Linked DNA regions of Oryzias latipes. The protein of the gene in region 4 purifies or fractionates together with the protein of the main gene of each other region. This does not show direct contact. Links are inferred from orthologs where the notes say so. Each region holds a gene or a part of one and is shown on either strand. Other genes may lie near its edges.

What was found.
Region 1: the proteins of dcaf1 (region 4) and cops4 purify together in Homo sapiens (affinity purification with mass spectrometry; 4 studies listed by BioGRID, with this or other methods). This does not show direct contact. The link is inferred for Oryzias latipes from reciprocal best matches to the Homo sapiens genes DCAF1 and COPS4.
Region 2: the proteins of dcaf1 (region 4) and cep78 purify together in Homo sapiens (affinity purification with western blotting; 3 studies listed by BioGRID, with this or other methods). This does not show direct contact. The link is inferred for Oryzias latipes from reciprocal best matches to the Homo sapiens genes DCAF1 and CEP78.
Region 3: the proteins of dcaf1 (region 4) and dyrk2 purify together in Homo sapiens (affinity purification with western blotting; 5 studies listed by BioGRID and IntAct, with this or other methods). This does not show direct contact. The link is inferred for Oryzias latipes from reciprocal best matches to the Homo sapiens genes DCAF1 and DYRK2.

What each region holds. Positions count from the first base shown.
Region 1 is NC_019870.2:2,888,328-2,894,969, forward strand, and holds the end of cops4 (COP9 signalosome complex subunit 4), read left to right. Parts: intron 1-1,102; coding exon 1,103-1,182; intron 1,183-1,272; coding exon 1,273-1,424; intron 1,425-1,500; coding exon 1,501-1,604; intron 1,605-1,672; coding exon 1,673-1,826; intron 1,827-1,899; coding exon 1,900-2,050; intron 2,051-2,120; coding exon 2,121-2,291; intron 2,292-2,385; coding exon 2,386-2,501; intron 2,502-3,111; coding exon 3,112-3,196; intron 3,197-3,553; coding exon 3,554-3,687; 3' UTR 3,688-3,910; downstream 3,911-6,642. Other genes in the region: plac8 (placenta-specific gene 8 protein), read right to left, coding at 4,528-4,632. UniProt on the Homo sapiens protein: Component of the COP9 signalosome complex (CSN), a complex involved in various cellular and developmental processes.
Region 2 is NC_019867.2:7,049,477-7,057,782, reverse strand, and holds the start of cep78 (centrosomal protein of 78 kDa), read right to left. Parts: upstream 4,502-8,306; 5' UTR 4,372-4,501; intron 3,715-4,371; 5' UTR 3,705-3,714; coding exon 3,443-3,704; intron 3,341-3,442; coding exon 3,159-3,340; intron 3,018-3,158; coding exon 2,945-3,017; intron 2,727-2,944; coding exon 2,623-2,726; intron 1,960-2,622; coding exon 1,785-1,959; intron 1,705-1,784; coding exon 1,591-1,704; intron 1,418-1,590; coding exon 1,353-1,417; intron 1,256-1,352; coding exon 1,162-1,255; intron 282-1,161; coding exon 164-281; intron 41-163; coding exon 1-40. UniProt on the Homo sapiens protein: Centriole wall protein that localizes to mature centrioles and regulates centriole and cilia biogenesis. Involved in centrosome duplication: required for efficient PLK4 centrosomal localization and PLK4-induced overduplication of centrioles.
Region 3 is NC_019881.2:22,943,659-22,950,254, reverse strand, and holds the end of dyrk2 (dual specificity tyrosine-phosphorylation-regulated kinase 2), read right to left. Parts: intron 6,095-6,596; coding exon 5,779-6,094; intron 5,695-5,778; coding exon 5,531-5,694; intron 5,303-5,530; coding exon 4,913-5,302; intron 4,833-4,912; coding exon 4,742-4,832; intron 3,571-4,741; coding exon 2,933-3,570; 3' UTR 2,836-2,932; downstream 1-2,835. UniProt on the Homo sapiens protein: Serine/threonine-protein kinase involved in the regulation of the mitotic cell cycle, cell proliferation, apoptosis, organization of the cytoskeleton and neurite outgrowth. Functions in part via its role in ubiquitin-dependent proteasomal protein degradation.
Region 4 is NC_019865.2:16,281,654-16,289,773, forward strand, and holds the start of dcaf1 (DDB1- and CUL4-associated factor 1), read right to left. Parts: upstream 5,095-8,120; 5' UTR 4,859-5,094; intron 2,970-4,858; 5' UTR 2,952-2,969; coding exon 2,839-2,951; intron 2,762-2,838; coding exon 2,685-2,761; intron 2,596-2,684; coding exon 2,522-2,595; intron 2,423-2,521; coding exon 2,309-2,422; intron 1,046-2,308; coding exon 908-1,045; intron 792-907; coding exon 195-791; intron 1-194. Other genes in the region: protein SSUH2 homolog, read right to left, coding at 5,447-5,587, 5,675-5,782, 5,997-6,102, 6,227-6,319, 6,433-6,515, 6,596-6,658, 6,763-6,884. UniProt on the Homo sapiens protein: Acts both as a substrate recognition component of E3 ubiquitin-protein ligase complexes and as an atypical serine/threonine-protein kinase, playing key roles in various processes such as cell cycle, telomerase regulation and histone modification.

The DNA.
Region 1 (6,642 bases), on a different chromosome or scaffold from region 4:
AAAACGGATGGACCGCTAATACCAGTGTTGTGAGATTATCGTGCATATTTCTTTTACCGTCATTTAAATTTAACTTTATTGAGCGTGACACACTGTACATTCTAATGAATATTTCAAATATCTTTAAGCTCTGTGGTCTCTATATTACAATCTCCTTAAATCAATAAACAAAAATGGAAACTCCAGAAGTTTAAGGAATGTCAAAGATATACATTAATAGAACATAAATTAATGTAAACAGTTATGTGTTTGGCTTTAAAAAAGACTTCTTAAAATTAAAAATAAAGCTGTTAGGTCTGTTTTTTTCTGACCTTTACATGAATTAAATTCTTTCAGCTTCACCTCATGATTCAAAATGTTTATTTTTTTTAAAGTTTTTTAGTAAATCATTGCTCTCAACAGAGCCGATGTAAAGATAAACCTAATGTTTTTCTTGTGGGATCTTTGGTCTAAAGTTGTGATTCCAGGTTTTTAATGGGCTGGAAAATCATTTTTTGACGTTTTCAGTGTCTGAGTGACTCATGACAGGCTGTGTTTAATATAAAGTTCAGTTTATTCTTTTTTTATAGAAATATTCAGTCCTTATAAATAAATTCCACCTGGTTCTTTGTGTTTTGACAGGAAACTGTTTGCAGCAAAGCCGGCATTTTAAAAATTCCAGAGGTTTCTCGGTTAAACTCTGGTTCTTGTGAAAACAGTTCAGTCTCAGCTTCTTCTTCAAAGCGTTCCCAGTGGTCTGTTATTTGTGATCATGTCGTTCTTTTGCTAAAATAAAAAAGAAAAGCTGTTGTGTTTTCTAGGACATAGTTTCTGCAGAGCAGCAGAGGTTCGTAAGAAATTCACCTCTGAGTTGTGGGTGGGACTGTTCTTCATATAAGTCTTCCATCAACAGAAAAATGCCACTAGAACATGTTAAAAAAGACTGTTTTCATCAGGGTGGGTCTTCAAACGTGGCACAATGGGGATGGAATCACACATGTAGAGGAACAAACAGCAGTTTGTGTCATTTTCTTTGTACATAGGGTCTTTTAAGCGTCCTTAAATGTAAAATCAGTCGACATCCCGTAACGTTGATCAGAATGATTGAATTGTGGGGTTGTAGGTATCGACAGATTCTGGAGAAAGCCCTTCAGCTCATAGATGCGGATCAGCTGGAGTCCTTGAAGGCCTTCGTGGAAGCAAGTATGCATCTTTAGTTTTTTCACCGCCCCCTGTTGGTTCTGCATGAAGCTGCGATCCTCCTGACTCCATGACGGTCTTCTGCTCTTTCAGTGGTCAACGAGAACGTCAGCCTCGTCATCTCCAGACAGCTGCTCACCGACTTCTGCACGCATCTGCCCAACTTGCCCGATGGCACCGCCAAAGCCGTCTATCACTTCACCCTGGAGAAGATTCAGCCCAGGGTCATCTCCTTCGAGGAGCAGGTAAAGGTGTCGAACCCCTCAACCTCAGTGGAAACGTCCTCCTGCTCCAGGGCGCTGAGGCTCTCGTTCTTCCCAGGTGGCCTCCATCAGACAACATTTAGCAACCATTTATGAGAAGGAGGGAGACTGGAGGAACGCGGCGCAGGTTTTAGTCGGGATTCCTCTGGAAACGGGACAGAAGTGAGAACGCGTTTCTGCTCATCTGAACATTATGCCTCCCTCGTCTTACCAATCCCTTCTCCTTTTAGACAGTATAATGTTGACTATAAGTTGGATACGTACCTGAAGATCGCCCGGCTCTACCTGGAAGACGACGACCCGGTTCAGGCCGAGGCTTACATCAACAGAGCTTCGCTCCTGCAGAACGAATCCTCCAACGAGCAGCTGCAGATCCACTACAAGGTACGCGACTTTTTCCCTTCCTGCTGCAGACGTTTGTGCAGACCCGCCGCAGCTCCGCTGTCCTCTGTCGCAGGTGTGCTACGCCAGGGTTCTGGATTTCAGGAGGAAGTTCATCGAAGCAGCTCAGCGGTACAACGAGTTGTCCTACAAGTCCATCGTCCACGAAACCGAGCGTCTGGAGGCTCTGAAGCACGCCCTGAACTGCACCATCCTGGCCTCCGCAGGTAGCAGCTGGCTCCCGGGGAAACGGGCCTCTCCGCGTCCGGTTCCTTTAAACGATGTGCGTCGTTTCAGGACAGCAGCGCTCACGGATGCTGGCCACTCTGTTCAAGGACGAGCGCTGTCAGCAGCTGGCCGCCTACGGCATTCTAGAGAAGATGTACCTGGACCGCATCATCAGGGGTAACCAGCTGCAGGAGTTTGCTGCCATGTTGATGCCTCACCAGAAAGCCACCACCGCTGACGGTAAGAGCAGAAACCAGGAAGGCTCAGGGTGGAAGGGCAGTTTGCAGACGGAAAAACGGCCCTTAGAGCAAGCTTCTCCCATCTTGCTCTCCAGGCTCCAGCATCCTCGACAGAGCTGTGATCGAACACAACCTGCTGTCTGCCAGTAAACTCTACAACAACATTACGTTCGAGGAACTCGGCGCTCTGCTGGAAATTCCACCTGCAAAGGTGAGACGCTTTGGAATGGAACCGTAGACTACGAGCAGGTCGGAGCAGGGAAGGGTACTGGTGTAGACAACACCACTGGGGTTGCACAAAAATGCAAGATGTTTTGTTTTGGATTCTTGTATTCTATTCAGTTTTACTGCACAATTCTAGCCAATTATTTTACATTTCCAGTGAGTGTGGGTGGGGTCCAATAACAATAGGCGGGGATGGGCGGAGCTTCCATGAAAATGTCGAACCAAAAGTTTGTCTGTACTTCCCAACAAACATTCAAGCGCTCTCCTTCACACTGTCATGCTGATTCATCACACTTACATGGGTTTTTTTGTTAAAACGGGTGTTTTTTGTTGTTGTTTTTTTTTTTTTTTTCATTTTTGGATCTCTGGTTCAAGCAATGTTTAGGTTCCAGAACATTTTCTAAAGTACCGGTTCAGCACTGGATGAAATCCAAATATTGGAGCGGGTGGGGGAGTGTGGGAGGTTCGGATGAGGGAGTCAGCGAGAACGAAACCACGAGTCCAAACGTCAGCTCGTCCATCGCCTCGCAGCTTCAGCGGCGTTGCAACTGAAGTCGGTTCTCCGCTGATGTAAAACGCCGCTTTTTTCCCGCCAGGCGGAGAAGATCGCCTCCCAGATGATCACTGAGGGGCGCATGAACGGCTTCATAGACCAGATCGACGGCATCGTTCACTTTGAAAGTGGGTCAAACGTCTTCCCCTCAGTTCTGTTGCTTCTGTTCGACACGTTTGTTCTGATTACAAAAGAAATATTCACTTTAAAATTTTTGTAGAATATTAATGGAACTTTTTCTAAGATCACTCCTGATATATTTCCTGTAAAGTCAAAGAGAAAATCAAAGATCTATTGTTGTAATTTTTGGAAAATACATTTTTTGATGTATTAAAAAAAGGAAAATTCACCGGAACATCTTTTGAAAAGCATGTTCAGAACTATTACATGTCAGTTCTTTGGTGGTGTCATAGCAGGAATGTTCCTGCAGAGGGCAGCACCTCCTCTGTGATTCAGTGTTAGTAAAAGCTCTCCTCCTCTTGCAGCCCGTGAGCCCCTCCCCACGTGGGACAAACAGATCCAATCCTTATGTTTTCAAGTAAACAACCTCCTGGAGAAGATCCGGCAGGCCGCTCCGGAATGGGCCGCGCAGGCTTTGGAAGCCCAGATGACCCAATAAACCCCTCCACGCCCACGTCACCCGGCCCCGCCCCCTTTTAAGTTGCGTCTTCCTGCCTCAGAAATGATGTGGAGAACTCAGCCACGCTGCCATCGTTTGTTCCAAGCGGTTCCTCATTGGTCGAATTTACTTTTCTGATGGACCGGACCTTCAGATGAGACTGTTTTTGTTTTCATGGTGGAGAATTGGAGGATTTTGCATAAAGCTGATATGTGGAAAGATGCTGAGTTGTTTCTGTTTCAGAAGGTTCTTCAACCTAAACAGTCAAACTATCCCAACCCGTAACCGCAAACACGAAAATGTAAGTTTAAATAGATAAGAGACCAAGTAAAACAGTCGAATCCTCAGTCAATTATTCAAGATTTAAAGGTCATTTTTTCTTGAAAGTCTTGGTTCCTCTCAGAGGTTTAAGGGGCGTTTCACATCGAAGCTGCACAACATTTTATTTTCACGTAGTTTTGGCCTGAAATATAAAACAACCTTTTTCTTCAAGTTTCAGCTTTTCCTTGTGACAAAGTAAAGCAATTTATTCAGTAAAAAATCACATCGACACAAAAAACAAAGTTGAAAAGTAATTATTCTGATATTAAAGGGATTTTTTTTTACTTTGAAGCTTAAAAAAGGAAGTTGAGTCAAAATTAAATCTGTGTTCAAGTCATTTTTAGGAAGAAATTAAATTTCCTGTGTTACTATTGACTGTATGTGAGACCTGGAGCGAGTCGGTGTGATGTCATAGTGAATGTCAGTCCTGTTCATGTATACAGTCAATGGAATGATTTCAGGCTGAACAGTAGAAGATGATGCAGGACAAACGCCGCCTGGACAGACCGGTGCTCGTTTTTAAAAGGTGCCCTGCTCCTTCCGATGCTTGATGTCCCTCTTCAGCTGACAGGTGGAGCAGACGGGGCAGAACAGCGACATCAGGCAGTCGTTACACATGGAACCCTGAGAACACAGAACCTTCGATGAAGAAGCTGCTCCTCATCATCACAACTCTGAAAAGTCATCTCTATAGAATAAACACGTTTGGATTCAAGTATTTCACTTTATAGTAGAAATGTCACCGTCACACAGGACTGATTCTCTACACGTTTCGCTTTCTCTTATCGGACATCTAAAGAAAATGTGGAAAAAAGCTGAAAATGAACAAAGTGAAGCTCAACACAAAACCCAAACCAAATAAAAAAATTACAATAAGCTGAAGGCAGATAAATTAGAACAAAAACAAACAAAAAACGCCGTAATAACATTGAAGGAAAGTCAAAGAAAATGATTTGTACCAAATAGGATTGAAAATGTTCATTAAGGCAGAAGAAAAGTTAAAAATCTTAGTATTAAACTAGCTATAAACTAGTAAAGTTATTGTAAATGAACCAAAAAAAACTACCTACATGCTAACATCATAATCAAAATACTCTAACATAACGACCATTGTTTATGGGGGTCAGTGTCTTGTGGTGTTCCCCAAGGTTCTGATCTGGGACCCATTTAACTCATTCTCTATATGCTCCCCCTTGGGAGACTCATCAGGATTTCTTATCTATACGCTGATAACATTCAGGTTTATTGCTCCTTTGATAAAACTAATTACAAAAATCTTTCCTATCTACGAGACTACTTTTACTGCTTTTACTACTCAAAGTGTAGTAAAGTGACGACCATTTCCTTTAATAGCTCCTCTGTCTCTAGATTCTCACTCAAAGCTCCTTGTCAGAATTTGTTTTTATCACCTGAGGAACGTGGCTAAACTGAAGACAATATTTCTTCCAAGTTTGATCTTGAGCTATTTAACCCTTGTGCTATCTTAGATGACCCCCCCCCCCCCCCTTACTTTGACGTGTTCTCCCTACCATGAGAAGCTGGATAAAGGTGGAAAGATTTCATGTAATCCATGGACACCAGTGAAGATCACAAATCATTGAAGAAAAAAGGTTCAGAGCACTGTCTAGTGGGTCTAGATGACCCAGCCCCCAACACCTAGGATAGCACAAGGGTTAACCACACTTTTCTCTCTTCTCCTTTAGACCACTGCAATTCTCTTTTAACCTGTTTTAACTAAAAGTCTCTTAAACATCTCCAATTGGTCCAAAACTCTGCAGCGAGGCTTTTAACTGGAACCAATAATCGCACTCATGCCACGCCTCTGCTTTTATCGCTACACTGGCTTCCTATTCAATTCAGAAAAGATTTTAAGATTTTGATTTTAGTCTTTAGAGCCTTTCACGGACAAACCCCAAACTATATTTCTGACCTTTTGACTCCTTACACTCCTGCGCGTTCCTTGAGGCCAACTGATAGGAATCTTTAATGTGTTCCAAAAACTCGTTTTAAAACTCAAGTTAAGACGTTTCTATTTAAGGAAACTTTTAGCTGACTTTTACTTGTGTTCACTTTTATTTATTTGTTTGTTTACTTCTATGCCTGAGTGCATTTAATTTGGGTTTTACCTGCTTTAGACTCCCGGTGCCATTTTTGTGTTCTGTCTCTGATTTTATGTTGTTCTAACATTGTGAAGCACTTTGTGAGCTGTTCTCTGCGAAAAGTGCTAAATAAATAAATATTTACTTTACTCACTAGTTAGAAGAGGGGTACTACATAGGTCTGATGGTTAAAAATGCACATTTGAGTAAAGAGGAAAGCTAATTTAGCTGAAAAAGGTAAAAAACATCAATTATGCGACTAAAATAATGTTTTTTTCTGCTGATTGTGTCTGAATCTCTTTTTTAAACTCGTTTTTTAGCTAAAAAAGTATAAGAGAAAAAAAATAGAATTAAAACAAAAAAAGTACTAAACCAAATCTTGATTCTGCTGATACAAATATTTGTTCAAATGTAATTTTAAGTTCTGAAAAGATGAAACAAACAAAAAAAAACATGTCAAATTAAGGGAAAAACATTTGTAAAGGTTTTTCATTAACACAAACAGTGAGCATTCTTCTCTTTCTTTCTTTCTTTT
Region 2 (8,306 bases), on a different chromosome or scaffold from region 4:
AAAACTGTGGTCTGTTACTGTTACTCCAGGAGGCAGACCTCTGAAAAAAAGGCATTACCCATCTTGAAGCCTTCACATGACTAATGCATCCAAACGGTGCTTTAAATAAGTAAACTTTCATTTAATTGTTCTGGTTGGTTCACTTGAGAGTTTGACATCTCACCTCTGACGCCCGGCTCGGGCAGCAGCCCGCCATGGGATAGAGCAGGAGCGGGAATTCTTGATTCTTGTCCTAGATTCACCCGAACATCGACCTCCGGGAGATGTGCCTTTAGCAGTGACTGGAGCAGGAAAGAAAAGAAAGCAAGAGTTTTTGTAGCTGTAAATACAGAGATAAGATACTTTAAATAGACAAAAACATGAAGTTCCCTTCAGAGGGTGGACAGATTTTGGCACACAGATTGTTGACAATTATAAAAAAAACAAAACAACTTTATAAATAAACTTTTAAAGAAAAAAACTATTAAAAAAATAAGCAACCCTGTTTTTCTTTATATTTGTACCAGTGAGCAATAAAAAGATAAGAACAACTTCAAGTTAGCTGATATTTAATCCTTTAAAAAGTCTTTAATTTTTTTAAAATAAATCTAAAGCCTAATTTTGTCTTGACTTCTGCAAAAACTTTCTTCATTCCATAGCAGTTCATCTGAATTCTATGAATTTTTTTAGCTACATTAGTCAGAAAAGATCATACAGTAAACATATTCTCTTCTCGTCTTTAAGTTCTCAGGAGATGACAAAAGACATTACACAGACAAGTTGATGTAAGGAACCGTTTGCAGAACAAACTGTTCAATCACAGGAATTGGAAATAGCAAAACCTTTGATTTACCTGACAAAAATAAACGCCACTTTGTAATTAAAAATGAAACTTTGACTCGCCCACATAAACAGAATATAACGCAGATCATGACAAATGGATCTGCTCTCGTGTTTGACTTAACAGTCAACTAAAATGGGTCCATGAAATTAAACAAACAGCTGTTTGAGACTTCCTCCCTCAAACTTAAGTGGGCCTGTTAGAGGTTCTATCTCCTTTGCAGTTGTCTCCTATTGTGGTAACCACACCCCTAACCTTTTGACTCCTCTGAAGCCTCAAACCAATCCCTCTTTCGCTCTGGACAGACTGCAGGAGGATTCAAAAGGAGGGAATGTTTATACCTTTTTTAAACAAAGTTTTTTCTCTGACTGAGTGAAGTTTGCTTAGTGAAGAAACTCTCTGCGATTCTGTAGCAGCCGGCTTGATCCAGTGGTACTGCAACAAAATAAAATATTAAAAGCTATGGCTTAAGTCTATATATAAAATAACATATGGATGCATTTTAAAAAATACATTACTTCCAGAAACTAACCTCCAGTGGTTGCCCGTCTGCATTCATTTCTACTTTCTCTATCACCGTTTTCATCAAAGCTTTATCTGTGGAGAAATGATGCCTTAAAACATCCCCAAAATCCTAATTTTTACAGAGTAATTATGCAATCATAAAAATAATTGATCACATCTTGAGGCTTTTATAAATGAGTAGTTAAATGCAAACTAACAGCGTATGTAAGCGGTGATGTGGAAAACAAAGAACAGAATAGTCTTACCAACTAAAGGGTTACTGCGGATATCCAGCACACACAGAAAGGAGTTTGTTTTCAGGGCTTCCAGCAAACGGCGAGCTCCCTCATTAGATAGGCCGCATCGCTGTAAGTCCAAAGCTGTTCAATCAGACAAAAAAATGTAAAGTTCCCACACCACAGCCAGTCTTTGTACAGGAATATGATTAATGGTTATGTACCTTTAATCCAGAGGTCCTCAGCCAGCTCACGAGCGAGAGCAGCTGCACCCCTATCGCCAATCAAAGTGTTACAGTTAAGAGTGATTCGCCGAAGACCGCTCATTCCTTCCAGCTGTGGATGGCGATACCGCAAAGACTCTGCCCATGCTGTACCATGTCTCTGCATTCCCTGATACTGAAACAACAATGGACAATGCTGCTATCTGAACCTTTGATTGGAATTTTAAATAGTTTAGCCAATGAAATCAATCTTCATTTAGAAATTGCAATATCGATTCTTCAAATGTATGACATATTTCTCTTTCTTTGTTCCTTTTGTTTTGAAAAAAAAACTAGAAATTCATTACGGAATAGATATTTTTTCAAATATAGTGACATTAAATCAAAGAAAAAATAACTTGAATTGTGAGCGTGGGAACTGAAATCAAATCGATTCATTTGTTGGAAGTGAAATGCGAAACTTTGTTCATTTCACGACTACAGTAGATGTACTAATAGTTGAAAAACCAAACGCTATAAACATCTTTTTAATATACATTTTTTCATCATTATTAAAAAATGATTTGATCATCTTTAATAAGCAATATCAATTAGTACAATCAAATCATTTAAAAAAAATGGAAGCCAGAAAACTGATGATGTGTCAACATGTAAAACACTCCCTGCATATTGCCTGTTTCCCTTGGTTTATTTTATCTCAGAAAAATGTCTATGAAGTATTTAGCTGGTAAAGAAAAGAAAGAAGGAAAAAAAAGAGTCAAACAATTAAATAAATCTCCATTTGATTTTTGTGTTGCCTTTTAGAAAACATAAAAAAATGTAATTGTATCTATCATACCTTAATAATGTTGGCTAAATGCTCTGCCCCTCTCCATGTAAGACTGCATCCTGTGAAATCAATTGTCTTGATGGTTGTAGAGTACTTCACACTTTGGCAAATGACTGGAACATACAGATATTACAAAAAATAAAGACTTAACATGTGATTAATTTATTTTAAGTTTAGAAAATATTGGATTAGAAATGGTTTATTTCAAGCAATCAAAGCAAGAATAATGCACAAACAATACAATCAACAGAGTTTTACATCCAAACAGAGATAAATATAGACGAATAAGGCATTAAGTATAAATAAATGTTACTACAATAATAATACATACCTTCCAATCCCTCATCTGAGATGGGACAGTTAGCTAAAGAGAGATTTTTCAAAGAAGCACTTTTTGCCAAACCCTGGAACAGGACATATACATGCAGTTAGAACTCTGTTTATCAGACTTCAGCTTATCCTTGTCCTATAATAAATGTGTAATATATTAGCCCTTTTCTCTTTGCAAAAAAAAAAATACTGATAATAACCATATGTCTGTTTACTTTTGTCAAAGCGATGAGGTCCCTTTCTCTCAGCAGAAGTCCATGAAGCTGCAGAGTCTTGAGGTTGGAGGAAACAGTTAAACAGTCTCCCAAGGCTTTGCACAGCTTGAATGTCATCTCCTTTGAGCGAATGGCTGGAATCTTCCTCTTAAAGGTGGATTTATGCTGCCTCCTCTTCAAAACTGACGGTTCATACAGTTGGTATTGTTATCCAAACTTAGACCATATACTCACACATGCTGTTTTTCTTTAACCATTACCACTGCTGTTACTTTCAGGCTTACCTGTATCTCCTGAAGTGTTACTAGCTTGGTAAGTGCTGCTTATAGCGATGTGGTGAAGGTGCTTGTTAATAGATATTGCTTGCAGAATGGGTGGCCAGTCAGATAGTTTGAGCCGGTCTGCATTAAAGTTCAGCATCCCTTTGTCAAGGTTCACTTTAACAGCAGGGACAGGAAAAGTCTCCTGCTTGGCACAGGCGAAGTCATAGTACGCCATAAAGTCCTGGGCACCCTGCTGGCGAATCTGTGCGTTGTCTTGAACCATATTGTCTGACCTGGGGATGATAATAAGGCAGTCCTTCAATCAAAATACCCAATACTTTTACTTCATTTAGGCCACCATGTTTCTAATAGAATAACAGACAAATTGACTATTTTCTTGTTCTATGCATGCACGCAGTGAGGTTTCCTTTTTAAACAAAGGTATTACACGTGATGTATTTAACAGTACTTCAATTAAAAGCAAGTAAATGTAAACTCATTATTTTTGATTGCACTGACAATTTGTGTTAAACTATCAAAATGCTCAAATAAAAAATAAAATTAAAAAATAAGAACAATTACAAATACTTAAAGATTAACCAGAAGGGGGGAAAAACGAAAAGTTTTCCTGCGTTTTCCAGAACAGCAATCAAAGCAAGTAAAAAAAAACTCTGTTTCTGCAAACTAAACTTTATATGTGAGTAAAACCAAGAAATTGGCTATTAAGAAAGATACAACAAACTTGCATTTAAAATTAATAGTGTGCACTCAACAAATCTTTTGGTTCTGATTGGTGTTTATAGAAAAGATACGCGGGCGTTAGCAAGCCAAGCTCAGCTCGTCCTAGCAACTGTTGGATGCAGCAGAGGACAAAACATTTAAAAATCAGTTTTCATCTGGTTTTCAACACGTTATCCAGTAATAACTACCGGAAAACATTCGAGCTTTACCTTTTCGGGCATAACTGAACCCTCTGTTATTGTCAAATTCCACGGTATAAACCGCTCTGTAGTCTCCTCTTGTGTTGTTATTAAATGCTTAAAAGTGGCGCTGTTGCACCGTCAAAACCGCGCCCACATGTCTTCAACACTGGTATCGGGGTGTCAGTAAAAACAACACACTGCCACCTACTGGCTGGGAGGTGTATTTACTCCTCTGACAATACAAACTGTTATGCTGATGTCAGATCAAGAAAAGCATATGATGGTTTTTCTGTAGCATAATTAAAAAGTAAAGTCAATACCAGAAATGCTTTTCCATTTTAATTTTGAGTCAAAAAATGCAGCTTCCTCTTGAAAATGAAAAAGCATTTCTGGTATTGACATTTATTTTTATTTTATGCTACAGAAACGCTTTCATAAAAGCAACAAAAAGGCAGGTCTACTGATTATTTGAATTTGGTTTAAAAATTTACAAAAATAAAATAAACTTTTCAGATATGAAAAATAAAATAAAATTAGAAATCTGTTGTCAAAAAAAAAAAATCTGAATTTAATGTTAAAATTCCTTTAATTAAAATTGACGTGTTGGTTTTAATTTGTTTTCAGTTTGCTTCCCTGGCTTTTTTACTCAAATCCTAATCAGATCATTTTGTTTGATATGTGTCAACCACTTTGGGTTGATGAGTGTTTCTTAGGGGTTATTATTACTGCAAATGGCTTTTATAGAGTTAAATGTTGGTGTCTGCCTTTTTTCCCCCTAAATTTTGTCCTGAGACTTAAACATGTACATTTACTTTAGTACTAATTTAGACAAGGTTGGTTGTAAAATAACTAAACTTGTATTGTTATCAGTATTATCAGAGCCTTAAAAAAACAGTGCTGAGCAAAATTATTGTCTGCCTGGGGCCTTTTTTAAATTACGTCAAAGTAAGAGTGTTTTCCTCTTTTTTACCTGATGGAAACAAAAGTTACTTGTTTTCTAATGATATTTTAAATCTGGGTTGATTTTTTTGTAATAACTGGTTTACTCTACATCAAGCAGTGTATTTAAACTTTAAAAGCTAATCCGACTTTGTGACTTCTTTAGTAGCTTCTGCTAAATAAATGTTCATAATTGCTGTATAGTTCAGTAAAATAAGTGTCATCGACATTTGAATTCTCTGCCTGGTTTCAAGGTCTCTAAACACTCGCCTCTGCCTCTCGCCTTTTAGCCTTGCGTCACACCGCAGCACAGACCCCGCCCAGTCGCTCACTGTGCGAAAGGCCATTGGTCAGAAACAACGTCAGTCATGATCCAAGCTAGCTTCATGCCAGGAATCCCAGTTTTACTCTGGAGAGGTAGGGAAAAGTCAAAACTACGTTGCGGAACGTGGGGGCACCAAGTTAAAAATATCTCAGACGTCTTTATAGCTCGATTAGTAACGAAAAATACCGCTGGTCGGTTGCTGTGAAAGACATTTCCCTGCATAACAGGTAATTTCGACATTATTTCAAAACCTTTTTATATCTATTTAGCCGTTGAGTTTGTTGATGGCCGCTGCCCGAACTGGCGATGTGTTTTTTTTAAACCCCAGACAGCAGTGGCCTGTATGGAGATGGGAAGCAAAGTAAACGCTAAATGTCAGTTTTGAATATTTAAAACAGCAGTTTATATATTGTAAAATGTTTAAAAGACATTGCCCAGTTTTTATTTTATTTTGTGTTTTTTTTAGTCCATCATCTGTCGTCGGTCTCACATGCTAATGCTAATGATGCAATTGTCCAATGAGGATGAAGTTGGACATAATATATATATTCGTTGGAAAATCTAGTTCATTTAAAGAAAGGGTGATGGTTGAGTTGGGATATTTTGTTTTCTTTTTGGGCTGTTTTGATCAACACGTTTGGATGTCAGCGTGATGACAGCTCTTTCTTTTGTCGTGGGTTGTTGATTTAAGCGTATCCGAGCTTCTATGTTTTCTTCACTTTGGTTTACTCACTTATTTTGTCTGAAACGTTTTTTTTGTTTGTTTTTCCATCAGACCTATTGTGATAATGCTTGTATGTTCACAAAGGCTAAATTATTTTATAAATGAAAAAAGTATTCTTTCTCACATTATTTCCCTTTGATGGCTCAGATGTTTCAGGTTTAGGTTCAAATGAATACATAGTGACTTACATTTCATTTAAACAATAACTATGATTTGTGCATTACAATGACTATTTATGAATGAGATAGACAAGTGTAAACACTAAAAAAAAAAAAAAAAAAGAAATACCTCAATTTCTGTTCAAAAGTATCCTGTTTAAAGATTTTGGGTTTTGCTGCTTCACCAGCTATAGAATCAATAGTAAAAAGTGGAGGAGGAAAAACAATCTTCTCCAACCTCTTGCCACATTTACTTGGAGCAAAATTCAGCTTCCAATCATTCATGATGACGTAGCAAACATCCCTGACCTCCAAGCCTGCCTCATATTGATGCAAGACAAACATTAAGTACTGCAAAGGGTGTCACTGTGCATGCCGTTTGTGCATGTTCAGTTCATTTCCGATTTTGGTTTCTGCATTGAAGAATGTATAGTGTTAAAATATGGCTCGCACTGCTTACTGGGATAGCTTATACTTTGGTTTCGATTCAGAACAGTGGACTTAGAAGACATTTGTGAGCCAACGGCAGCTATCTCATGACGTCGAAACAACTTCACAGCTTCCTGAAAGGAACAAGATAAATTAGATGCCCCAAACCACCCCCTAAACATTAAGGAAACTTGATGTAATGCGCAATGTTCGTCGTTGCAGACCTGAATCCCACACATCACGTTGTGACAAAAAATGTTAATGAGCGGGGTAAGGAACAGTCAGAGGTTCAAGGCCTTAATACAGAATAATAAGCTGCACTCTGCAGACGTAAAGCACCTAATAACATAAATTGAATGATCTTCAAAAAAATATTAAAAGTTGTGGAATCACTTGAATAATGTCCTGTGACAAATTTATGGTGTTAAGAGCACAGATAGGGAAGATGTGGTATAATAGTAATAATTGATACTTTATTTATTCCACAATGAGGAAATTCTTCTCCGCATTTGACCCATCCTCTGGGGGAGCGGTGAGCTGCAGCCGAACCGCGCTCGGGAGGCAGCGTTAAGGGTCTCGCCGAAGGACCCCCACTGGGTGATGTTAATTTCTCACCATTGATATGGTAATTGCTCCCAGTAGCATTGTTTATTTCCCTCTGGAAATCGAACCCCGGATTCCTGCGTGGCAGCCTTCTACCAGCCGAGCTTCCCAGCCACTTTTCTTATCGAAAGAGACAATAAACCCCTTGACATATCTACCTGTGATTACCGAGTTTTCCAATTGTTTTCTATCCGCAAAACAAAGGCGATTAGGAAGACGTAAAATAATTGCTATTTAATTTATTTCTGTGTCCAGAATTGGAAACTCTATCATTTGTGGTCACCAACCTTTATCTCCGGACTTTGTAAAATTGTGGCTTGTGGTCCCTACAAACATTACATCACAGTTGGTATTGATACAAATTACATTTTTAATTCTACTGCATAATATAAACACGTCTTATTAAAAGACTAACAAATATCTTTTTGTTTTTGGCTGCGCTCTTTAAGGATCAACATAGTAAAATCATCTTTCTCCCTTTAACTCCATCCTTAGAATTTTCATCACACAAACCCACCGTCCCAATTTCCTTCTTCTCTACGTATCTGAAAACCAATGCTTTGACCTCATCTAGGCGTGAGATTGAATCTAGACAGCACAGGTACGTCCAGCCAAGGTTGGACAGGTGTTTAGCAAAACTAATCGCTATGTTGACGTTGCAGGGAGAGAGTCTGCTCACTGGCAAGATGTCACCCAGATTTTAGCCTCTGATCCAATGTTGGGCTGATCTTAAAATGATCAATCATATGCTCATCTTTAAAAAAATAAAGATAGGAGCAAACCT
Region 3 (6,596 bases), on a different chromosome or scaffold from region 4:
AGTGGAGTGGATTTATGTCCGTCTTTGATTGGGGCTCAAACCAGCGTAAAACAGGAACCAAACGTGACGACGGCTTTGAATCGTCTCCAGACGTTTTCTGACTCAGTCGAAGTCTCACGAGGACTCGTGTCAAAGCTGTGCCAAATGCCGCCGAGCTGTCACCAACTTCATTAGCAACTGTTGCGTCTGTGGGGGCGGGTGTGTTGGGTGGGCGTGGCATGGCGCTGAGATACTGAAGGCACAAAGTTACAACTCTCAGCTCTTCGTCTCACAACTGTCTTTAAAGAAACACAAAACACACAAACAAACATCCTAACAAATCATTAAAAAACCCAAACAGATCAGAGAGACTCCTCCTCTCTTCCTCTTGCTCCTCCTCCTTCATCGGGAATGGGCAGAGCTTCCCCTGAGATGGGCGGAGCAAGTAGTGTCTGCATGTTTGACATCGTTCGTTCCTCCTGTGCATAATGTAACTGTCTCTCACTTCCCGTGTGCTACATTACATCGCCAGGCCGACCCTGGGAACCTCCTCCTCTTCCTCCTCCTCGACCTTCGGAGTGCGTTCAGACAAGTGTGTGCGTTTCCACGTGTGCTTTTACGGGAACAAGGTTAGAAAAACCATCCCATAGTGCACACACACACACACGGCACATCTCCACACAACAATTGGATTTATAAATAATAAAATGTGGCAGTTAAATATAAAACTCTTCCTCCCCGCTCACCTAAACCAAAGCTGAACCTGGACGGTCAGCCAACTGATTTGACCTCAGGTTGTTTTCCAGGCGGAGGACGATCTCCACCCGATTACTCTGTTCAAGGCAGAAAACATTCACCGTCTAAAGACAAAGTTAGGTTCAAAACAGAAAACACTTTTAAAAAGGTCTGACTGAAGGTAGTTGTACAGAAATACTTAAAAATCCTGAAACAGGATATAACAGAGTAAAAAAGCTGAAACTGGATACGTTTGATATAAATACAAAGATTTTTTTGGATATGATGATCTAATCAACCACTGAAAACCCAGCGTTTCTCCTCAAATGAGCCTTTCCTTCAGTTTATCTATTTCTGAAATAATAATGTGAGGCGGCTCCGCTTCCATCCATGTAAATATGAAGCGGATCCGCCTCACATTTACGAAAACAGTTAAACATAATAAACATGCCGCAGTAAAGAATGAATATGGCCTTAAATCCTGTACAAGTGTCTTCTTTTGATCTTATCAAGGACACATTTACATTGAAGTGATCTAGTCTGTAACGTTCAATTGTCTTCCTATTTTTTACAGAGGATAAAATTATTTAATTTAACAAAAAGCTGTAAAAGTAACATGTATTAAAATTGTCATTAAAGTTTTCATTTTAACCATGATTTCAATAATTTTACATTTTTTGACAGCCTTATCATTTTCATTGTTTTGGCACATTTGTTTTTGTAAGTAATGATTTATTAAATGGGAAAAAAAGACGGGGTCTGAATTATTTTTGGTAAAAAAGTGATTTTACTTAAATCATCAGGAAAATGTTGATTATGAAAAAATATTAGTTTCTTTTTGCTTTTTTTTTTTACCACAAACAACAATTTACTGTTTTTATGTATTTGTTTCCAACTGGTGTTAGAATCTGAAGCTGAGCTTTAATCAGATTATTGCCCAATAATAAGGTAACTATTTTAAAAGTTGAATGTAAGATTTAGTAAAATGCAGTAGTCAACTCATTTTTCTACCCTTTTTCTGCATAAAGCTTCATTTTTCCAGACCTTTGATGTCTTATTTTAGCTACATTTAAAGTGGTTAACATTTGTGATTCTGCATATTTCCTTCATTAACAGTAAATCATTTGGTTTCAGTAAAAGTCTTAGAATTTTAGCAGTTTTTTTTCTACACCAAAGCATCGGTTTTTCCTCAGACCGTCTGGATCTTCAATCGTTCACATTTTTTCAGATTTAAAAACAAACGTGCTATGCTAGCTGCTAAAGCTCAAAGGTCTTCTCTGCGTTGCCGAACGCACAGAAGAACAATCCTTGTGTTTGTGCGTCATAAGGCTGGGCAGTGGCGAGCTGACATGCTATCCGGCTAAACACAGTCCTGCTAAAGAAGGCAAACCGTGAGGCAGCTACGACTTGCACACGCGCTTTGCTCAGTTTGCTAAGCTGACTTTAGTGAGTTAGTTTGAAGGATAGGTAGCAGAACGACAGCTAACCTCAAACAACTGGCTGTCCTATGAGGAACAAGTGCCAGGTAGGAGTTGACAGGCACCAAAATGTTAGCTACCTGACAGGTAGACTGCTGAGTCAGAGCTGTAAGATCTACGAGTCATTTCTGTAAAAATATTTATGTGCGAGTTTGATAATGAACTAAAAAAGCAAACTGAAATGTTTTTTTATCTTTTTCTTTAGCTTTAAAAAGGAAATATCAGTCAATGAGAAGAAAACTGCTCTCTGAGAGGTCGGACTGCAGGTTTAGTCTCTTAAGACAGAGAATTTTTTGGTGTTAAACTCAATAATAAATCCAGCTAAGAACATTATTTGCACAGAAAATGTTTTCAAAGCCTTGTTCCCTCCATCAGCACCATGTTGTTGTTGTTGTTGTGTTTGTGAGTCTGCTGCTGCAGAAGGTGGCGTGTTCAGATTGTCTGAGCAGAACCCACCTCAAATTGCTCAAATTGTTAAAAACAACTCGTCTCAAACGGAGGTTGGAGCTTCTGAACGTACCCCAGTTCACAAAAAGAAGAAAAAAAGACTTCCATCCCAGCACGTGTTCACACTCAAGCACGGAGTTTCTATTGGCTGTAGTTGTTTTGAACGCACCCCAGCAACGCTGAACGAGACCGTACGATCTTTAAAACCGGAGAGACCGGTTTTATTCAGGTCCCACCGGCTGCTGCGAGCTCAGCTCTCGTCTCCCGCCACAGCGAGCGGGGTGCATTCACTCTCAGCTGACAAGTTTGGGCAGCACCGTCCTAGGCTGGATGTTGCCATTGGCGTCAGTGATTGCAGCTAAGTTAGTCCTGGTTTTGGAGGAGGAGGAGGTTGTTGAGGAGGTTACGAGCTTAGAATTGGAGGTGATGGTGCCGTCAGTGGTGGCACGTTTGGACGAAGAGGTCTTGTCTCCCGGAGTGGTTCCTGTTGGTGGCTTGGGGAGTCGCCTCCTGAGCCACGAATGGCGCAGAGCCTGGCTCGGCGTCATCCGGTGCGCTGGGTCCCACTCTAAACACTGTTTGAGGAAGTCCAGGAAGAGCGGGTCGTCGCAGCCCTTCAGCGCCGTACTCCACACCTTGCTGCCGGGGGGACCGCGTACCTTCCCTCGCCGCGAGCGTCCTCCGTTCAGCACCGTGGTGCCGTCGCTCAGCGTGGTGACGGTGCAGTACCGCGGGTATCCCTTGGAGGACACAAAGTTCTTGGCCCGCTTGGAGGCATCCAAGATCTTCTGACTTGGCATGCCTAGGAGTTCTATGATGCAGGCGAGCTGGTCGGCTTCGTCTTCCCCTGGTAACAGCGGGTAACCAGTCAGGAGCTCGGCGAGGATGCAGCCCAGCGACCACATGTCGATGGGCATCCCATACCTGGAACCTTCAGAGAAAAGGACAAACCAGAGTCAGCCTCCACTCATTTTCAGGTCCTAGACTTCTTTACGTCCGGCTTGGTGGATTTGTTCACAAGTTTACTTTTCTCCCAAAAGTGCGACTTTGACATGATTTTTTTTTCTTTTTGTTTTGCTGGTGCGACGCATAGTCCAAAAAGCATGGTTTATTTTTATGAATAATGCAATAATGCATTGGAGCTTAATTCCATCATGATGAAGATGAGGAAAACCAGAAAACCAAAGGTCTGGACTCCCAGCCACGTGGAACCGTTTCATCACAACGGTTCAATTATTTTGCAACTAAAGCTACGTTCACTGTTCACATCCCATCATTTTTTAGGATGTCACAGTTTACGTCTGAACACGTCGTGTACCAGACTCTAGTGACCGGACCGGAACCCTAAGGAAGGGAATCAAAGTGACCCGCATGTCCACTACAACCATGCTGCACACGCTCAGAATAACACACTTCAGTCTCCAAGGAAAACTTGGTGCTGGATGTTTTCAAGTAAAAGATGCACAGAAGAACGGAAGTAGCACTTGGTTTTCCTGCAGCTTTATGAAGATTTGAGTGCAAATGTGACATAAAAGTTAATATGTTGCTTTTGCCTCTCAAATTTGGTCCGGTCACCACCAAAAACTACAATTCCCAGAACCCCAGTCCTCCACATGGACTCATTGAAAAGCCCCAACTGTCCTCTGTAGACACAAATAGGACGTCAATCATTAGTCTGCAGCATTTGGGAGATATTCCGCTTTGGAAATGTCCTCCACAGAGGACACATTTGCATCTTCAGTCACGATCAGATCTATGTTTTCATTCTAAACTTATTTTCTACAAAAGTTTGAACTTTGAGAGTTTAAGAGAGAAAACTGTGAAAATGTTCACATCTGTCTAAGAAAAGTGGATAAAGTGTGTAGTTTACAGCCTTAAATCCTCTAGAAATTATTTTAAAAAATAACAGATTTTGTCTATCGCGAGTTATTTTTAGAACGTAACTCCTGCGATAAACGCTGATCGACTTTAATTTGAAATTGCACATTAAAAGGAAACGGACTAGTAGAAGATTGAAGCACCTTTAAGGCCAAACCAGAGAACAAGTTTCCTACAAGTTTCTGTGGTTGGACTCATTCACCAAAACAGGTGGATCTTCTTACCTAGAATGACCTCTGGTGCTCGGTAAAACCTGGACTGGATGTAGGTGTAAACCCTCTGATGTTCAAAGCAGCTGGAACCAAAGTCAATGACCTGCAGGAGACAAAGACGTTCATCCGTTAGCGATCCACAAACCAGAAGTGGTCCTCTACTGCGCAAGCCCGCCGTCCCACCTTGATGCCGCTCCGGCCTTGCTGCTTGAGTAAAATGTTCTCAGGTTTGAGGTCGCAGTGGATGATCCGGTTCTTGTGCAGCGCGTCCAGACACTGCAGGATGGAGTGGGCGAACTTCCTGACCAGCGGGAGGCTGAAGCCCTGGAACTTGTTCTTCTTGATGAGCTCGTACAGGTTCATGCTGAGCAGCTCGAAGGTCATGCAGATGTGGTTGCGGAAGGTGAAGTTCTCCAGCATGTGGATGACGTTCATGCTGGAGTCCTTGTCCTGCTTCTTCAGGTGCTCCAGGATGCGGATCTCCTCCGCCGCCTGCCGGTGGAAGCGCTTCTCGTTGCGGACCATCTTCAGGGCCACGTGGGTCTGAGTTTTGTGGTCGAAGGCCTTCACCACCTGCAGGAGAAGCACAGGGCTCGTGACCTCTGGTCTTCAGAGGATGCACTGGTTTCACCCAACACCACCACAGACAAACACATTTCTGAACATTCAGACAAACTTTGCAAATTAAAAGAATATTTTACAAAAAGAAGCTCAGAAGGAAAAAGAAAAAAAAAGGCAGGTATGACCTGAAATGACTACACTTTGACCACAAAAACCCTGAAAGTTCAGCCGGAGTCGTACCTGTCCGAAGCTCCCTTTGCCGATGACTTTCAGGACTTCGTAGCGGTAGGCGATGTGGTCGTGTGGGACCTGGATGTAAGACCCCTGATCATCATCATAACCGCCGTTGTTGGGACCGCCGAGAACCCCTGACCTCTTCTTTGCGCTTGGACCAATGAAATACACTAAAAGGTTTTCAAAGAAGAAACAAAAATGTTATTTTGTGTTTCCAGTCGGTTCGTCATCTCCGCCCACGGAGAGCGGCTCACCCTCGGAGAAGCTGAACACTTCGTGGTGTTCGAACGAGGACATCTTGGACATGAACTGCTTCATGGCCTGCTCGGCCGTCAGAGGGTTCGTCTTTGGCTTGCTGTCGGCGGGCTTGTTGGAGGTGGCGCTGCTCTGGCGTCCGTGCTGGGCCGCCTCAGAGGACTGTCGCTCTGGCAGAGGGAGGCCTGGCCGGGTGGAGCTGAGTGGAGCCAGGCCGTTGGGCTGAGAGGTCAGGACCGGGCGCTTGTTCATGTTTTCCTCGTACAGCGGGGTGACGTGGACCTGCGGCTCCGCCATGGTGGCTTTGGAGCCCCCCTGAAACATTTCAGAACATTTTTAGTGTGTAACCATCACATTTCCTGTCCCAGTAAGAACAGAAATGGCGTTTTTATAATCCTGGATAAAAATAATGTAACCAAAGACACAGAGATTTTAAGAACATTCATCTGACAAAAATCCGGACTATTTCTTCATCCTGAGCGTGAGGGAACAGCCTCCAACACATGTGGGTTCAAACGCTGCACTTCCCCTCCTTTGAGCATCACATGACCGAACCAGAGGATGACAAACGCCTCCACATGAATGGATTCCTCTGAATCTAATTACCCAGATCCTATTGACCCACAGCTCTCTCCTTGTTGAGTCCCTCCCTGTTGCCGTGGTGACCAGCACACCTGGCTCCTTTCAGATAACCGCGTTGGTTTCACAAACGCTCACACAGCCAACAGAGCGCCTCGGTTCAAAGAGATGCTGGCCGACATAATGTTGGATCAGAACCGGGGCTCGTCCATCCATCCATCCATCCATCCATCCATCC
Region 4 (8,120 bases):
GTATTCTAAATCGTGCCAGAGTCCATCTTAATCAACAGCCTCAATTATTTCTGCAATTCCAGTGCAACAGTGACACCTACTGGTAGGTTTGTAAATCTAGGGTCAAGTACTTGGCCACAGCTAAGTACTAATAATTAATTAGACAGTTTCAAAGCAGTTTGAAGATTTGTACAGGCTGATGGAAGGAGACCAACCTCCTGATACTCCCCCAAAGGAGTAAGATATTGCAGGATAAGCCTCTGCTCGATCTCGGGGGTTAAAGGGTACAGATGATAGTTGTTGCCGATCACCCAGGGACTCATCTCAGACCAGCTGCTGTTTGAAAGCTCACTGAAGCTCCTCTCTGGCTCAGGCAAAGAGAAACTATGCTTCTGCTTTGACGTCCTTGCAGTCTCCCTTTCAGTCCTTCTTTTCAGGTAACTGCTACCGTCAGGCAAACCTGGGTGCGTCGATAAACCTGAGGCGGACATGGGCTTCATCATGGTTTTAACGGCTGAGTTGACGCGGCTGCTCGTCTTGTGAGGAGAGTTGAGATGGAATGAAAGCTCGTTCTCAGGCTCGTTGGGCGAAAAAGAAATTTCCCGATCTTCCTCTGGTCCCATCCCCTGCTTGTCAGCTCCATTTCTACTTGGTGTGAAGGGCTTCTCTTCAAAGCTTCGGTCAACAGTTTCCTCGTCTAAAGGTAACAAAGGTGCACTTAGACTCTTCCTTGGGCTAATTCGCTTGATTTCCCTCTTGTTCTCGGCATCTTTATCTTGAAGCTCACGCAAACGATGCAGCATCAAAGGAACCTTTCCGATAAAAAGAATTTAAGAAAACAAAAAAAATATTAGGAATATACACTCATATATGTGACATTTTACACTTTTTTAGGAATTAATACAAGATATAAAAAGTCTTTACTGACCAAAACAGAGTTCTCCTCTCTGTAGTTGGCAGCAATGTCCTGGTTCTCCATGGCACCTGCCAACAATCCTGTGGCATAAATTCTGAGAGGCTGCTCGGCCTCTTGAGCCCACTTAAACAGCCGTTCCACTATTCCCTCCTGACAAGACAAATTTGTAAAAGCAGAACACTTCAATTACGAGATTATAAAGCCTAATTTAACGGGGGGATGTGTTAATTAATTTGATGCTTGACCAAATAAAAACATTTGATAAAAAAGCAACCCTTTAAATAGGAAAGAAATGTCACAGTAACATAGATTTACTTTTACATCAAAACATGGTGTTGCAGGAAAGACAAGAAGCAATAATTGAAGATTTAATCTTTCTTGCTATTAATTTTGAAATTACCTACATAGGCAAAAAAAAAAACTAATGAAAAAACAAAAGCTACTATACTTGCTTTAGCTAATGATATTTTACTAAGTACAAGATTCACAAGTATAATAGTTATAGTCTAAGTAGTATAATTTTAACAATACATCAAAGTGTGTGAAAATTTACTATTCCATCACTTCACAGAATAATTAAAGCATTAACCTGCTTTTCAGTATCTGTAAATTAGAATAATGTTGGAATGCATAAAAGCAAATATGAGGCAACTCATATACATTATTCAAACACATAAGCAGTGTGCATTAATGCTAAACAATGTTCCTGCACCAACTCCAAGGCTATGTCCAAATTTTCTTGACTACGCCCCTCACTACTAAAACTATATAGTGCAGGACTATTTAGTATCCTGGATTTTAAAACCAATGCAGACAGACACCATTCTCACTTCTTTTTTTTTTATTGCCAATTACAGCACTGCTTTCCCAAAAAAACCTGATAAGTCCGAACATTGTCAGTCTGCCCCAGGGCAGCTGTGGCTACATCGGTAGATTACCATCACCAAGTATAAATGAGGAGTGAATGAATAATGGGCACGAAAATAATTCCAATCCATTGTTATTATTATTACTTAACAAAGACTATTCATTAATCTTCTGTGTTCTGAAAAACTTGGATAGCTTTTTTAAAAAGAAAAAATTGTTCAAACGCAATACATTGTGGTGTATATTTGCCAATCTTGTGACCGTTGATGCACACTAGATTTTCACAGACTTCTGGGAAATTTATAGGGCAATGGATTTTGAAATTTTAGATTCGGACAGCTCTAGAAAAAAGCAAACGCACTATATAGTCCACTAAGTAGAGAGTAGTGAAGGAATTCGGACACAGCTCGAGTGTTAGCAATTCAGTAAAATACTGAGTAAAATCTTTTATCCTGTGCAGGTGTCCTCAGTACTGAAAGTCATTTTGAAGTAAGTTTAAAAAAAAAAAAAAGAAACACATTGGCAATGAAGTCAGAGACAACAAACCTTTTCTTGAAAAACCACAGCTGTCTCTAATCCAGGCATGATGTTCTGCAGCAGACGGCAAGCTGCTGCATTGAGGGGGAATTCCCTGCTCGTCATCACATAGTTGTTCACCAACTAAAATACAGACGTTTTAAAATGATCTTCTGAGTAGACTATAGAATATGCTTTAACTTTTACAAGAAAAAAAGAATACATTTGCTCATCCATTCTTACAGTGTTCATGAAGTCATCATTCTTGAACAGGATCTTCAGTAGATGCCCTAACATACATTCAGGATCAGCTCTCCCTGGTGGTCAAAAGGGAAAAATACAAAAACATAGAAGAAACTTTAAACTTGTATTTGAGCAATTGTTTGTATTTTTCTCTTCTCCATACCAGGATGCCGATCATCAAACGGGTCGGGGTCTGCTTTGTGGTACTCCTCTGTCTCCTTTTCAACAAGCTCAGATATTCTGAAAGTTACCGCACATCAAGAGATTTAACATCACCTTTAACATCATAAAACACAAAAAATCAGAGACGCACTTACTTTGTAAGAAGGTTAACCAGGTCTTGTGTGCTGCCGTGCTGTTCCCTTTCCCACTGCTCCAGCAGAGCAGTCAGCTCCGCTTTTGAGTCCACACTGGCGGGTGCTGACGCCATTGTGATGCCTAGAAGGGCCTGAAGAACAAAAAGTGCACCCCTTTATTTAAATTAACAAACGGGTAGGAGCATGAAATCAGACAAGTATTGCACTGATAACAGATTTTTTTGCGCCCTCCAAGAACTGGTGACAAATATAACTATTTATCTTAACAGGCTGAATAAAGTCAATTAAACATCCAACGAGATGAACATTAAAACAGTAGGCTGAAATTCCATTCAACACTTATAAACTTTGTGTGAGGAACTGCCTCTGAGGAAGTATGGTGACTTTTCACAGGTGCAACTGGAAATACTCAGAACAAAACGGTTAAAGACTCAAAGACCCTCTCCGATCATCTTTCATTCCATTTTAGAGACATTCCTAGTGGTCTTTTAATTATGATGATGCCATGTTTTACTTAACACACACAAAAATACAAAAAACCTGAGTCACTTTTTAGGACAGTTTTAGTTTCATACTCGGAAACACATTTTTAAGCTTATTTGTTTCTTAATGAAAAAAATGCCACATAATGTTAAAAACACCAAAAACTACGGTATTTTCATTCGTGTTAAAGTTTACCAGTGAAAATGAGGGCAAATCTTTAGCTAACTATTGGGCTCAAAGTGTCAATTTTGGAGCTTTAAAAAAAAAGGGGGGGGGGGGGTCACATAATCCACTAAGGTCGGGTGCACTGAAGACTTGTTTTGGTGTAAACGAATCACGCAGAAAACAGGAACCGATAAACTCATGTAACTTTTTTGCCTGCTGGTAAATAAACAACCAGACACGTCCCTATATGACCTCAACTACCTGGTTTTTTTATTAACCCATGTAGTACTTTTTGTAATATTTCTTGTTGAAGGCATGGTTAACCCTTGTGCTATCTTAGATGACCCCACCCTTACTTTGACGTGTTCTCCCTACCATGACAAAGGTGGATAGAGGTGGAAAGATTTCATGTAATCCGTGGACACCAGTGAAGATCACAAGTCATTGAAGAAAAAAGGTTCAGTCAGAGCACTGTCTAGTGGGTCTAGATGACCCCACTCCCAATGGTAAAGTCCTTAGGATAACACAAGGGTTAATAATTACAAGAAAATTCGTCCTTTTTTAATTCTCTACTGGTAGCTTTTTTTAAACTCACTCTAATGATTTTTTGTAGCGATTTGTTCAGCACTTACTGTTTTCGGCAAGAATTAAACCTAGTAAGCAAGTCGAAAAAAGGGTTGCTTTTTCTGGTCATCTTTTTACTGCTTCCACCCGTCGTTGTTTTATTTAAATAGCGAATCGTTTTGATATTTTATTTCGACAGCTAGTGTTGACTGTTAATCGCCATAATAATGCAAGTCGTGTTTTTTAATTATCTCCTCCAAATGTTTTATCAAAAATCCAGTTAATATTTGATTTTGTATCACAAAAAAAGCGCCAGACACAAAGACTTGGGGGAAACAAACATTTCCGCTTCACTGCTTCATAACCGACTGTCTGCACGTGTGAGTTCCTCACGGGAATGCAACTGTCAAAGTTGACCCGAAGTTAATTGCTTATTAATCTTTTTAGAATTGTCATTTAGTCAGAATTGAAGTATAAGTTATTCATTTAAACGTTTTTAAAGACATTACTTTGTTTCTTTAGCTGTCCTGAGCAACACGAAAGTGCCGTGCTTCATGCGTTGTTGTTTGCTTTGTTGTTTGCTTAGCAAATACAGTTGCTTCACACGGCAGCTGAGCTAGCCTAAAGCGCTAGCTAGACACAATTGTCTCTTAAAACTCTACATTTGTAACGTACAATTGCTCACAAATTTCGGGAATTGAAAAACATCATGGTCAGATGTTTTAATGTCATTTACATTAATAAAAGAACTCGTATTTCAAAACACAAGTGGGCTTAGTACAAGTAAAAGCATCACAGATGAACCTACCTAGTGGTTAGCCAGAGCGCTAACTTTACCTTGCTCCTCCAAGTTCCTGCTTGATATCCTCGATATAAACAAAAAATCGACCTACCAAAATAAGTCCCAATTTAGCTGCTGTTTGAAGAATTATAATACATTGATTACAATTTTACCGGCGTCCCTTAATTCGCTTATTTTACAGCTTTCTGTTCACGGTTTATTATCATTATGGCGAACACGTTCTTGACGTCATTCAACTGCGACCGTCCATTGTTAATGACATCATTCGAAAAAATAAAACTCGTTTATTAGCATTTTTTATGAAAAATATAGTCAACATAAAATACAAATGCATTTAATGTGTAATTATTCAAATATAATAATTATTGAAATATAATAATTATTAAAATCATAATTGGAGATTGATTTAGTCAAAAGGTTAAATTGATAAAAGTCTCATTTTTTTCCTCCATTTGTCCCATATTTTCCCTTTATGCTTTGATTTCCACCGTAATTTCCAACTTATATATGGGTAAGTGATTTCAGTCAGTTTTACTGACCCACACATCCTGTGGCTTTGATTGCTAAAACAGAGCTCATCATCTGCTCCCACAATTACATTACAGAGCAACAACAGGTAGCAGGATAATTATCCGCACTGACTTTGAACTCATTTCCATAAACAAAATAAATGTGGGATTCCCCTTTCCATGTGTAGGTGACTTTTGTGACAGGGATCAGCTCGATGGTTTGGCGCTGAAAAGAAAATAAGGTTATTTTGAATGGATTTAATTGAGGAGATTTTGAATGAATCCAATTATACCAAAATAAATAAATAAACACCTGCCGCAAAACGCGAGATGTCTTAAAATATTTTCCCTGGTGTTCACTGACAAGACGCTGGGAAGCCTGTACCACAGTGGGATCTGGAAAGCCCATCACAGGGTACACCTGAAACAGTCAGTCACAAGCATAACATAAGCAACGGTCACTTCTTAAAATGTACATTTACTTAAGCAAAAAAATACAGAACTGATAAAAACAAAACAAAACTTCCAACTCAAGTAAAAGATTATTTTAAAAATGTAATGATTGTTTACTTGCATAAAAAACACCATTTATGACCAGATTGTATTCTAAAAAGACAGTTTAAAAGCACTGTTACCATGGGTTGGGAGTCTTTGAAAAGCTCCTTGCCAGACACTTCACGAAGATTTTCCATCTGAAGTCCACTGCGCTGTTCCACAACATAATCATCAGTGTTGTTAGTCCTGCAAGGAAATACAAAAACATAATCAATAATAGAAGGAAAATAAATGTTAACCGAATAAGATTATTATAAAGATTTCTCTTCTAAATATACAGTATAGATTGCTGCTTCACAGCTGTTCCAACCATTTCACAGTGAGGTTGATGAAGACAAGAAGCTGCTGTTTTCCATTGCAAATCTCACACATCCTGGATCCTTGCCCATTACAGTCATTGCAACTGTAAGGAAAAACATTTGGAAACTTAGCAAGTTCAAAATTGTGCACACTGTTGTATTTTAAACTGGTTTCCATTTTCGCTTTGTTATAAATCTAAAGGTGTTGACTGCGTACGTCTCTCTGCCTCTGCCATTGCAGTGGTAACATCTGTCATCTCCAATGCGGAATCCAGATCCATTGCACACCCAACAGAGTTTCTGACAGAAAGAACAATTCCATTCATTTGCTTCTTGATTGAAGCAGAGCGGAACCTTTTCATCCTCTGGAAAATACTTACGTTACCAGCTCCAACACAGTCTTTGCAAGGTTTTCTCCCCATTCCCACGCAGCTGTGGCAGTTCTGATGATCAGTTTTTGTTTAAAAAAATAAAAATAAAATACAAAAAACCTACTAATGTAAGATGCAAAGATGCAACTATGTTATAATATTTTCTTATGGCTTACCTTCACAGATGACGTGTATGGAACTTTGATGCACTGCCTCCCTTCCACAAATAAACTGGGTAAGTTTGCAGGAATATCCCAAGGCCCCGGAGGTGGCTGTGCATAGGCATCCACTGTTTGGCCTGGTCCAAATAAAACACCTTGTTAGGCTGCCATAAGGATTGACCCAGTACTAGTAAACTACTAGAGAAAACATTGTTGTCCTAAACTTTGTGCAAATGTACCAATAAGAATTGATGCTACTTTGAAGACAAAAAGTAGAAACACCAAATGTTAGTTTGATTTAGATTTTTCTTTGTTTGCTCATTTTGAATTATATAAATTCAATATTATTGAAAATATAACATTAAATAAAAAAAGTTTGCACCAGACTGAATCATGCTCATGCTGCTGTTAGATCGGCACTGCAAGGGATTGTGGGATACCATTCCCTTTGCCTGTCTAGATGGATTTGGGTTTAAGTGTGGGTTTTTGACCAAATGTTTTTACCGGTAGTTGTTTAGCCGTCTTACTGTGTATTGTCTAGTTATTTTGTCCTACGATGTTTAATTCTTTCTGCACCATGAGTGAGAGGGAGGGAGAGGATGATGAGTTTATTTAACACCCCTACATTCTATCATTTTAATGTTAAAGACGGAGTAATGGTAGATGATTGCATGCTACAATTCCATATTGTTTCTTTCATTTTATTGTTATAAAAATGAGAATATCTACAGGCTAAAACATAGACACATGTAAACACATGAGAGTTCAAGAAGTACGATAAATTAAGATGGAAAAAGATTTAATTGGAGTAATATGACATTTAGATAAATATCTAAATTTAAGTTGTAAAAATAAATATTGAATTGGATAGACGTAAAAAGTTAGGTTAAATAAATTTAACTCAATTACTTGTTACCAATAGAAGTATTTCATTCAAGTGGGCAAAACTGGATAAGTTATTTGTGTGTGTGTATATATATATATATATATATATATATATATATATATATATATATATATATATATATGCGTCACATCGAAAACAGAAATAAGATCAGAAACTCGTGCGTTTAATTTGTCTGTTCTTTTTCTCTCTTTCTTTTGCTGATGATGCAGCCGTGTCATTTTTTTGATGGGTGTATAATCTTCATACGCCGTCATTAAAATCTAGGAGTCCGTCTCACTGAAGTATAGGGCTCTCTTTTTTTCTCTCCACACGTTTCCATGGTGACTCCGGAAATCGGCGATCCATTGAGAATGTCTTTATGTACTTGACATGCACACGCATTAACCGAGGGTTACCAAGTCGAGCGTGATTACGATAACTCATATCCGGCCTTTTGAAACCGACATACCCAGAGTAAGGGTAAGAT